2 linked regions of the Drosophila melanogaster genome follow. The protein of the gene in region 1 interacts with the protein of each later gene in a biochemical or structural test. Each region holds a gene or a part of one and is shown on either strand. Other genes may lie near its edges.

Region 1 (7,056 bases):
TGAAATTGAGAAAACGTGCAAACATTGTATATAATCCACACCTTTTATATTTCCTTGATCCTTTAAGTAAGCAATCAACTTGGGCCAATCTTGATGAGCCCGCCTTAAAAGTCCAAAGGAATTTAGGGGATTGGACACATATTTATATCGATCCACCTTGTGATCCAAATAATTCGGAGTTAAAGAATTAATAAAACTATGTGAAAGTTAAAGTGTAATTCTAGTTTTAAGAGAGGAATTAAAATATATATCATACATTCTGAGAGTTTTGATTTTTTGTTGCAGAAAGCTAACATAGTTGTTTAAATGCTCCATATAGGAATTCTCAATCTCGCGAAGTTCAGACAGGGCTCGAATGGAATTTGAGTATATTACTTCCTGTACTACATCATTTTCGGCTTTCTTTGCTTTGCAAACTGTGAATAGGAATAATAAAATCCAGTTCAGCAGAATATAATGAAATGATCTTAGCAACATTCTGCTGCGAAAACTATATTTTTTCATTTCCTAACGAAGATACTACATTTTAAATTGATTTATATCGCTTATTCGTCAGGCCTATTTTAAATGCTGCGGTGATTGATACACTTAAGTTACACATATACACTGTTTGTATATTTAGCTTAATATAATTTAGTATTTCCCTAACAAGCCTCATAGAACATATTTCATGAGTGATTCTTGTTTCAAAAAATAGTTGTAAATTCGCTTACTTCTTTTAACAGCGCTACACAACACTATAACTTTTAGCAAAGTTATACACCGCCATAATTTTATTGTTAGGTAACATCGGAGTTGTAAACCATTTCTGTTTGCTTTTTCGAAATTTGATTTCGAGTTTCTACACAGTTAGCCAAGACACATACTTTTCATGTGTAAGTAAAAGTAAGGAAAGTTTATTTGAAAGGCTTTATTATACATCAAGCAGAAACAATTTGAAATTATCGGCAGTTTTTTAAATAAATAATTTTTAAATAATGAAAAAGTATGTTAAATCCACTAAACTAACAATTCTTGAATTTAAGTCTATTTTAAAAATATACATAACTAGTCAAGGCAATCTAATGTACGTATTGCCATTCAGATACTCTAAAACGTAAGTTTATTTTGCTGACTAATCAAATTATGAAACAAAGGTAGGATTTATCAATCACTTAGACTTCAAGATTGCATAAAAACACACTCAAATTTTAGCAAAATATTATTTAATTAAGACAGAGGCTCTGACTCAGAGGCCAGAATGAAGAAACGAAGAGAAACTTGCATGGGCCAGCAAAAGATGTGCCCCTAGGGAAAACAACAATCAAGCAAATTCCACGTGCTTATTATGATTATTGTTATCGCTATTGAAAAGCGCTAATTGTGCGCAAATAGCGGTGCGAACTTAATGCCAACTTACCGAGAAGCTCACACATGCAAACCAAGCCAGTTGGAAGTGCAAGCATCGCAGAAAAGCAGAGGAGCAGCAGCTGGAATCCGGAGGGATATGGGGGATACGGGTGAAAGTTGGGCAGAAGATGCGCGGCATTTCGGGGTTAATTAGAATGGTATTGGAGTTGGCCTTTATTCTCCGCCGCCCACAAAAAAATCACCAATAATGTGTCACTTTCCCCCGGCAACATGTCGTATACTTCATATCGTCACGTGCATATGAAAATATTACGTCGGGCGGTTTATGAATGAAACATTTACTATTGCACAGCACCGTCTTTCGGCTGCCGGGCACCTTGACTACTACTGGGCTACAACCATACCCACTAGACACACTAGAACCACCCAACCACCACCCACTACCTTCGCAAGGCCGCAGGACACATGCGCAACGCCAGTGCCGCATTTGAATTTTGAATATGAGTTTTGACACTTGATTATCAGTTCGCGACCAGTTGTACGGGTGTGCGGACGTTTGGCCACGGCAATCGGCGGAAAAAACTTCATCCGCAGAAGCGGAAAAAATACATTTGCGCTGTTGCGGCGGAAGTTGAACTTCGGCCATTTGGGCAGTGAAAGTGGCAGAGTTAAAAATTAAAGTGGGAAATCAGCAAATATTCAAAAGTTTCGCACCTTGATTGCGGTTGAGTTTTCGGCTATGGGAAGGCGATTGCCCAGCTTTTGGCTGCTGCTCCTGCAGAGCGTGTGTTTCAGCCAGGCCAGCTTTTCGGAGCTAAACAATTGTAAGTGGATCGAGGATGTGATTAACTAAAGGATAAATAAATCTGATTGCTAATAATGAAATTAGTCAGAAATATAAGATTTACTTTGAATGAAATGCATAACCCATTAAATATTAAATTAAACATTTTAAGGATAGTTTTTCTCGATTAATATGACGTTTTTTGAATGTTGTACAATTAAAAAGTATCCTGTTTACAAGCTGAACTTTTGTAACCCGCCAACACGAAATGATGAACCCAAAAGTGTACAGCTAATTGACTGCAAACTATCTAAAGCCGGAGTGGTAGCGTATAAAATGGAAGGTAGCTGGTAATCGGAAGTCCAACGAGTCCATAAGTGAATAAACTGTGGCCAACATATTCCCCAGACGGGACAGACAGGATGGCGGTGATAGGGAAAGGGAGCGGGCAGAGGGGTTTCCGGTGGAGAGCTGCGAAAGAGTAACGAGGGGTAACTTCCGCTGGGGAAAATGTGCGCCGAATAAAAAAAACAAAACAAATTTTCCTTGACTTTGGCGAGCCAAATGCGATAAATATATCAAAATTCGACAAAATTCGCATTTAAATCAATGTGCCAGATGCAAAGTAAACATAAATATTGGCAGGCTAGCCGCAGCGTGCGATAAGAAAGTGAGAAGTGGCTCAAAGGAGTGATGATGCACCGCACCGCACGATGTTCCGTGCCAACCAACCAACTCCCACCACCCACCACCCACCGCACAGCGGGCAGGCAGACAGACAGTCGCGGAAAGGCGACGTTTTCCCACTTCCTATTGCACTCTGCGATATTTTCGTTTCATTTTTTTTTCTATTCCTGGCCGGCGGTTTCTGCCGCTGAAGTGCCGCGTTTTTCGGTTGGCGGTTGCGGGTGTGGAACTGCCACTGCAGTGGGTTATTTCGCAGTTTTTACTTAACTTTTTGGCAGACATTGCGTGCTGATTGTGATTGTGATTCCTTTCGCCGGCAGACAGCTGGAGTGTCTAACAGGAGACAGGACATTCACTTTCCGTTTCAAGTTCAAGTGGCGTGGGGAAAGGACACGGCCGGATTTGCAGCGACTTCGCGGGGAAAATGCGGCTTAAGTCCTGGCCGAGCGATTCAAGCGATTCCAGCGATACAAGTCGTGCAAGAAAACAGGAAAATATATTTAACAACTCATAGTCAATTTCCCCTTATAAAATGTGGCAACAACAAAGGCGGTGCGGTGGCGAAAAAGTTAAATGCTAAATTACGCTACCTTGCAGACATAAATAAAAGAAGAAAAGTTTAACTATATGAACACACATGTATGAGTACACTCAGAATAATTTCAAAAGTAGAAATCAAAAGTAAGATATTATACATAATTACTTACCTTGTAGTTTTGTTAGCGTTTTATGTTCATTGCTCCTTTATGCATAAAAAATCTAATCAAAATCTGTTGATGCAAATATATTATTGAAATTTTTGTTTTTTTTATATTAGTTCTTTAGCTTATTATACTTTTATTTCCAGTGCAAAGTACGTTTGTGTTTTATGGCTTAAAAAGTCTCGCTCGTCCCTTTCTTCGGAATGTTTCAATATGCAAACATGCAATAACCAAATTGCAATACCAACAAAAACAGAAACCATATCAACTGAAGGCAGTCAAACAATGGCGCCTCGTTCCCCACACTCAGAGCAACTGAAGGCGGAGCCTTCGGACTCGGACTCCAAAAAAAAAGCGCCCAACTTGCGGCCAGACCCAAACATAATCGCAAATTATAGGCTCTATGGCATGGCATCCGTAGGCTACCCAATTTGATGCTAGTTTGGTGGATACCCCCCCCACACAACGCAATCAATTCGTGGTGGATGGGGGGGGTATACATAAAGGTGTAGCACAGCTTTTTACAATTTTCCAGGTACCAGCACCTGCTGCCCCCCAACCAACACACACACACATACCGCGCTCTATTAGATTTTTGCATTTTTTCGGGTTATTATTTGGTCATAATTGTAATTTAGGCGTTTGCTGGAACAGGAACAGTAGCTGGAACTGGATTCCTCGTCTCCTGGCCACAGAGTCGTGCTACTTGTTAGGCATGTGATGTGATTTCTTCCATTACTCCTGCCTCCAGCCCATTGTTGTGTTTGCGATGGTGTGGGTGGGTTCGGTTTGCGGTTGGAACTCTGGTGGTTAGATTGGCTGACGGCAACTGTCGAAGTCCTGCGGTCGGGCACCTTGACTCAAAATTATTGCGATGGGACTCGAGTTGGCCGAAGCAACAACACGCCGGAAAGCAGTAGTTTGAGTTCATAGTGTGTGAACCCAACGTGTTTATGCTATTATTTACGATAAAATCAAAACATAACTATCCCGCTGTTCAATATTATGTATGTACAATACATGAGGTACTATTTTTGAGTAAAAGTGCTCAGAAAAGAATCCATAACCAAATCATAGGTTTAAGATGATGTTCAAAACTATTGTTTCTATATATATATAATATAATCAACATATTTTACTGATTCAAAAATAGCTTCGTTTTGCTAGTTTTACAATTTGTTAGTGTTGAAGCTACTCTATTTTGCCAGAATGTAGCTGACATCTATAATTTATCTAATTATTGGATTATCTGCCGCTGTCTCGGCCTAATGTTAACCTCAAGAAATTTATGGCCGTTAAACAATTTTAAATATCGTTGACCATTTCGGCGGGCCATCTGGCAACAAACTTGGCCTAGTCTGCGTTGACATTCTGCAGAGACACGCAAAAATGTGCGAGGATAAGAAATGAAATAATTATCCTGATAATTGTGGATTAGAAAAGCTGCACATAAAAAAAGGTTATTTTTTAATTGAATTAAATGTTTGGCGTCTGAGTTCCATTAAAATACAGCAAATGCCAGTGCCTCACATTTGCAAGCCCCATAAACCACCCCAAAAGCCACCCAGCAGTTGTATATCGTCGCCCCATTTAGCGCCCTAATGATGAAAGCCATAAATGCCAAACCATTGGGCTTGGTGCCACCATCTTCCTTTGCAGCGGATCCCAAGTTCAGCGGTCCAATCAACAACTCAACAGTTCCCGTGGGACGGGATGCCCTACTCACGTGTGTTGTCCACGACCTGGTTAGCTTCAAGGTGGCCTGGCTGCGAGTGGACACGCAGACGATACTGAGCATCCAGAACCACGTCATCACCAAGAACCATCGCATCTCCATCTCCCACACGGAGCATCGGATCTGGCAGCTAAAAATACGCGATGTTCAGGAATCGGATCGCGGATGGTGAGTGAAAGTATCTATCAGATAGATGGACCATATTCTTCTACTAGCGTTTACCGTAGGTACATGTGCCAAATCAACACGGATCCCATGAAGAGCCAAATGGGCTACCTGGATGTGGTGGTGCCGCCAGACATTGTAGACTATCAAACCAGTCAGGATGTGGTTCGTTCCACGGGACAGAACGTAACACTCACTTGCAGTGCAACGGGAGTGCCCATGCCCACCATCACCTGGCGTCGCGAGGAAGCGACTCCGATACTGATTTCAGACGACGGCGATCGGGAAGTGTTCAGCGTGGAGGGTCAGAATCTCACCCTGTGGCAGGTGCAGCGCTCCCACATGGGCGCCTATCTCTGCATCGCCTCCAACGGAGTGCCACCCACAGTGAGCAAACGCGTCATGCTGGTGGTGAATTGTATGTGTGAACAAAGAGTTGGATTCAATATATAATACTGAGTTATCTTTCAGTTGCGCCCACGATCTGGACACGCTACGATACCATCTACGTGGGCCTGGGCCAGAAGCTGACGCTGGAGTGCATCACAGAATCGCAGCCGGCATCGGTGAACTTCTGGCTGAGGGATTCGCAATTGCTGCAAGGAGGTTCCTACGAGTCGGTCTCAGTGGACCACGTCTTCCGGATCGTGATGCGGATCACCCTGCGTCCAATAACGAAAAGAGATTTCGGAGAGTACATATGCAGGGCAAAGAATGCGATGGGTCAGACAGATCGGATTATAACCGTGCACCGTAAGTGAGATTATATTTCGGTTACTTAATCCCTTAGATGTAACAAATGTTGACCACCAGATAAGGCCAAGAAGCATGGACAGCACTCGCATCAAACTTCCTCCCGCGAAAGTCAGTTCATTGTCATCGAAGGTTTGTTTGTTCTACAATAAATAGAGTCGCGATAAAGATAACTAGCTAAATCTTATTGCAGAATACATCGCAAATATGTCTGATAAGAGCTGCAGTTTCCAACCGCTTTGGATAATGTTTCTATGTTTCGTCAATAAAGTGTCACTTTTGTGAGCAATCAAACAATGTGTGCTTTGTCTTTTGGCCACGTCTAATGAGTGACTTCATCTTTATATTGCCTAATTCACAATGTTATATTAATAATAATTTTGGTGACAATTGTTCGATTCAAGGGTAAAAGTAACGCACGTGTGAGCAAACTATTAAAAAAAAATCAATTAATTTGATTTTGATTCTGATCTTTTGTTTTGATTTTTACGTTCGGTTGACTGAATAAAATTGCTTTAGGACAACATTTACAATAATTTTTTTCTAAATAGTCTACAATTCGTTTAAGTTATTTACAATTGGATTCCTTAGTCAGATCAATTGAATATATCGATAGAATTCGATCCGCAACTTTACGCTTAACTTAGAGGAAATCGAACTAAGGAGACGTGTTCAACAGGTGTGTTAATATTTAAACATTAATATTTAGCTACTTCCCATCGGTTGCATCTGTTCCGTTTCTTTCGCAATAAATTAGTGAGTTAAGAATTAGATCTAGCTATGAGCGTGTCGAGGTAGGCTTAACAGTTTGTTAGTTGGATTGGCTTACAAATTAAGAGCGTGTTGGTTTGTATGTGAGGATGTGTTCATGTGTTCATGTG
Region 2 (5,018 bases), on another chromosome or scaffold:
ATAAACTACTTTAGTTGTTAATAAACTTATAGGAACATAGTAATACCTCTTTTATTACAAAATGAATAGGACAGTGAAGAGCACTTAAAAGCCTGTACATTTTTAAACTAACTACATTCACTCTCAGCGATTTATGAGGCTATAAACCGTCTGCGGCTTTGATCCTTTTTCCTTTTGCATTGCCTATTACTGAACAGATTACACCTACATTTTTTCGCCGTGCAATTTCATGGAGGAATACCCACCGAGGAAGAGGAGCAGCCACAGCGGCACCAAGCAAATCGCTTTCAACGCTCTCGGGCAGTCCGTTGTCCACATGTTTTATGCTCTCCACTCGGACTGCTACTACGGCTGCTAGCTACTTCGATGAGGGCGATGAGGAATCCTCCGCTCCTGCCGGCTGTTGTATTTGCTCCGTTTACGGTTTAAGGTTTAATAATCTGCAAAGGAGGAAATATTATTACCAGGGCTCTTTTTTATGGTACCAGTGGCGAAGGACACGCCTGGAAAATAACTGGGGGAATGGCAAAGTAATTTGCCGGGCAAATGATGAAAGCCAGATATATATCCGGAATATGATGGGGGGCGGTTACTACTGGGCGGAGTGGGTCAAGTCAATATGGCATTCTCGTCGGCCGGAAAATTGCCTACCCATCACGGCAATTGTTTAGTACAGTGCGTTTCATTACTCCGAGATGGCCAAACGATTGAATAATAACAATAAACTTAATATATATATATATACATGTGCCACAATTTAGCCATAATACAGCGTTAAATATTAAATGAGCAATGAATAATAAAGTAAAATTCATGCAAATTATATGATTATTCGATATAATTCAAACAAAATTACAAAATTCAGTTGCTAGTTTTCCATTCAAAACCAACTATTAAGAATATTTTTCCCACAACTACGCACTGCAATTACGCACGGCAAAATATTCAATTAAAGCTGAAACAAAATTGGCTTGTTTATTGAAAAAAGTGCAACCATTCTATGGCTATCTAATTTAATTAATATAGAAACGAGTTGAAATTAGCTTTATAACTGGGTCAGCAAATTACTGGTTGCCTGGCAAATGGCAGCTGCGTTTTCCTATTGCCAAGAATATATAATTATATTATATATATTACGAGCCAAAATATCCCAAACAGATTCAATCGAACCAATTGCGCACACCATTATGCTGTGGATCTCTTCCAGAATCCAACAATTAAGCATAAATTATTGATTCAAGGCGACTTATGTGTGCATATTTATGGACCTCACTGCACCACAATTCCAATTAACAGAACAAGAGCCATCGCAGGCCAGTGTAATGGGAAATGGGAAACGGTTGTGCTGAATGTCGGGTTAATGAGGTTAATGCCGGATGTAGCCTGAGCTTTTGGTTTCGACTTGGTTGCCAGGGCAAGAAAATGCGTTTCAGATTCGCCACAGAAAATGCATTCATGGTCGTTGGTGGGGGGGGGGGGATTACTTTCCACGACCCAAAAGCAGGGAGTCAGTCATATTGCATTGCAATGTGGGTAAAGCAATTACAAGGGGAACTCAAAAGGATGGTGTGTGAGGGAGGTGGAGGGGGTATACCCCCGCACCGAATGGAAAACTAAGGCAAAAGTCGAAAACTTCGTGAAGGATGAAATTAAAAAGTTTCCCCAAGCTGAGCTCCTGGCTAAACGACCTTGTCAACTATATAGTTTTATCGGGATAAACTCGATATTGCTTTCACAGACTTCCTTTCCCAGTCGACTTCCCTTTGGCGAATTTGTCAGTCTGGTGCCAGGATACCCCCGAGTCCTCGTCGTGGGTGTCCCTCTCATTATTTATGACTCAAACTCGGTAATCAGTCAGCTCGTGGCGAAAGGGGGCAGTAAGGGTAGGGTCCTAGAGCGGTCTTTCATAATCCCGGTCATTACTCAAAAATATACATTTGTTGTCAGTCCAATTAGCTGCGTGACTCCAAGGGTCAGCAGTCCGCTCCTAGGACCAAGCCATTTGTTTTGGTCACTTTTGGCCTTTCGGCCGACGGCTTTTCGGTTGCCTGGTGCCTGGTTTTCCTTGTTTTTTTTTCCCGGGAATATAATAATAAAAGAGGTTGGCACGGCGGGCTTCATTTTTTCGCAGCTATTACAGCGGAATTATCGCCTAGCCGAACAGTTCCCCGTATGCCGGCGCCCTTTCGACTCTCCATGGAAATTAAACAAAAGTTTTTTGTTTTGCGTTGCCTGCCCGGGAACAACATTATTCTGTTGTTCTTTTGCCTAACTTTTCAGGCCTGTCAAACGGAAACGGCGGACAAAGGGCAACCGCAGTTTGGCCAGTCAGCCAGGACCCTATTTATTGTTTGTTTTTCCCCAGCTCGTCCTTGTGCCGCATTAAATTAAATTCCTTCACTTACGGGTCTCGGCAATGACTTCCAAATGACACCACCGTCATCCTCTGCGTAATCCAAACGGGCAAAATCCTTGAGCTCTGTGATTTTACAACTGCGTTACACTCGATCTTGGCTTTGACATTCGGTTGCGCAATGCGCAATAATTAGGCGGGCCTGCTGGCATGGCTCATTCAACAGTTGCACAATAACGATTGGCATTCAACAATGCCGCAACAATTCACCAACGTCACAGTTCACCAATCAATTCGGTTCAACAATGGTCAAAAAAGTGGCCCAATCGCAAACACAGGTTTATTTCTGGTCTGGCTTACTGGCTTACTTAATAGCGCGGATTTCGAAAATATATCCGTTCGGCGGAAGTGGACACATGGACACATGGATCCACGGACACGCACGCACACGATGACAGCGAGTTGAGCGACAAGGACGTGTGCTTTGTATTATTATATTCGTTTAGTCGGCAAAGTGCGTATGTGTATGTTGGCCACATTAGGTGCCAGCCAGAGCCCTATAGGTATGCACACTTACACTGAGACAGAGGGAAGCACACAGACACAGTCACAGTTACTGACGCACACACACACAAGTTCGAAGGATACGCGGAGAGAGGCATTTTGTGTATCCGTCTCAGAACGTGACCAACGATGGGTCCGTGGGATTTAGTTATTAAACGGCTTTTGGCTTCTGCCTTCACTTCATTCCTTCGTCTGTTTTCATTTTTAAATGTGGCACAATGCTATGTGGCGATGGTGTTGCTGCTCCTGCTGCTTCTGCTAGCACTTTCCCTTTTCCCGGTGCTTCCCTTCCCGTATGAGTGATTTATCCGACGGCAACAACGGAGCAGCGTTCACGGGCATCCTTGCATCAGGATTCGCGTGCTGGAACTGATTTCGATTCCATCTCGGCGAGCGCAAGGAACTTGCACCGCGACTCCGAATCGCGAGACTCCGAAAGGTGCTCTCCCACGCAGGCGCACGACAAAAAGGACCTCTGTGGATGCGAGAGGATTTCCCCGAAAGTCAGAGCATATCAAATATTAATTCGCCATCCATTTGATGTCGCTTTCTTTGCATGCCTGATGAGCGGTTTTATTTTAAGGCAAGGGTTTATTTTCTTTTCTTTATTTCGTCGCTTTCCGTTTTTCAACACGACTCGGTCGTACTTTGGTTTTCCAGCTAACCACCAAGCCGGATCGTTTTGCTCTCCATCCTTCCTCCGTCGCAGTCTCTCTTTCTCCCTCGCTCTCTCTCTCTCTCTCTCTCTTGGGCTTTCGCCATCTGTACTATCTGGGTTATTAGCACAACCTGCCTCAATGCGAGACCGACTGGTAACAGTCGTGCCGAATCGAAATCCGAGTGGTGGAAATCGTGGCCAGACGAACCTAATATGCTCCATAGTCACGTACAAATGAATATTCGTAGTAGAGACGCCTTCGTTTTGGCATATTAATATAGTCTACATTTCGGGGCACAGGCAACCCGCACTTTTTTGTGTCTTTCTCGCACATGAATGATTTACACCCGGGCCATGTAAATGTGATTTTTACCGCAATATATAGGTATTGGTTTAGCCATAGGTATAGCCATGGGAATCCTTTTAGTTTATACGCCATCGAACCGTACCGCACCCATCGCCCCCTCCATTCGCGCAAAAACAATTGAACAGACAGTTATAGGCCAATTTCAGTTTATGTCCATGCGTCGCACTCGAGAGAGATTTGTGTGGCTTCGTTAAGGGACTAGAAAACGTGGTATAGGCTGTAGGCTAAAAGCGCTATAAGGGCTATAAGAGGGTTTAAGGGGCTTATGGGGTCTATGGGTGTTTGGGGGTACGACCAACACCTGTACCTCGTCGTCGTTGCTGCGCCGACCATGTCAAATGTTGCGTGTTATGGCCACAAATGTGGCTGTCGAAAGCGTAGCCACCCCCCAACCTCCCTCTCAACCATCCTTCCCCAGTACACCCGCAAGTACACCCACTACCCCCGCAACCCATCCGTATTCAGAAAACTCGGAACGGGCATTTCAACGCATGCCTTACGAGCTCATAAATAAAATGCCCACCCAGTCGAAGGCCGATAAAGTCGAGTGTGCTTGACTGGGGAATGCCCTGTAGGCCTCAAAACATCGCAATGCAAATGAGCACGGCGCCGGCGAAAGAGACAGACGCACTCAAACGGACAGAGATAGGTGGCTGGCGAGCGAATGAGATAGCAATGTAGAGAAACAGCGAGCCAATGCAACAGAAAATTGACAGACAATGGCCCTGTAATTGACACGCCACCTAGCGGCCATTACGAATGATTAAAGTTGTTTTGACCCTCCCAATTGTGCGTGTGTGTGTGTGTGTGAGTGTGTGTTGCCACGAGTTGACATTTGATTATAGAATTCCATTACCAAACAATTGAAATGGGAATACATCGAGTTGACCAGAACGGAGGCAGAGCCGCACTAAGCAGTTTACAATTTCTATAATTAAGTTAGCACGCAATCAGGTCAAACGGAACACAGGAAGAAGCGATCTGGATAATTATAGAATTATGATTTAATATCAAATCTGATAATAATCAGTTGGATTAGGCGAACTCTTTGAGATACTATTACAAATTGAGTTTTT

What was found.
Region 2: the proteins of DIP-iota (region 1) and dpr4 form a complex in vitro, tested with the Drosophila melanogaster proteins (one study listed by BioGRID).

Annotation. Positions count from the first base shown.
Region 1 is NT_033779.5:6,616,544-6,623,599, reverse strand, and holds DIP-iota (Dpr-interacting protein iota), read left to right. Parts: upstream 1-1,899; 5' UTR 1,900-2,089; coding exon 2,090-2,174; intron 2,175-4,153; exon of another isoform or gene 4,154-4,520; intron 4,521-5,181; coding exon 5,182-5,425; intron 5,426-5,484; coding exon 5,485-5,840; intron 5,841-5,893; coding exon 5,894-6,175; intron 6,176-6,235; coding exon 6,236-6,307; intron 6,308-6,368; coding exon 6,369-6,460; 3' UTR 6,461-6,466; downstream 6,467-7,056. Other genes in the region: CG34345 (uncharacterized protein), read right to left, coding at 42-196, 257-477.
Region 2 is NT_033777.3:11,539,662-11,544,679, forward strand, and holds the start of dpr4 (defective proboscis extension response 4), read right to left. Parts: upstream 3,289-5,018; 5' UTR 2,406-3,288; intron 441-2,405; 5' UTR 319-440; coding exon 246-318; intron 1-245.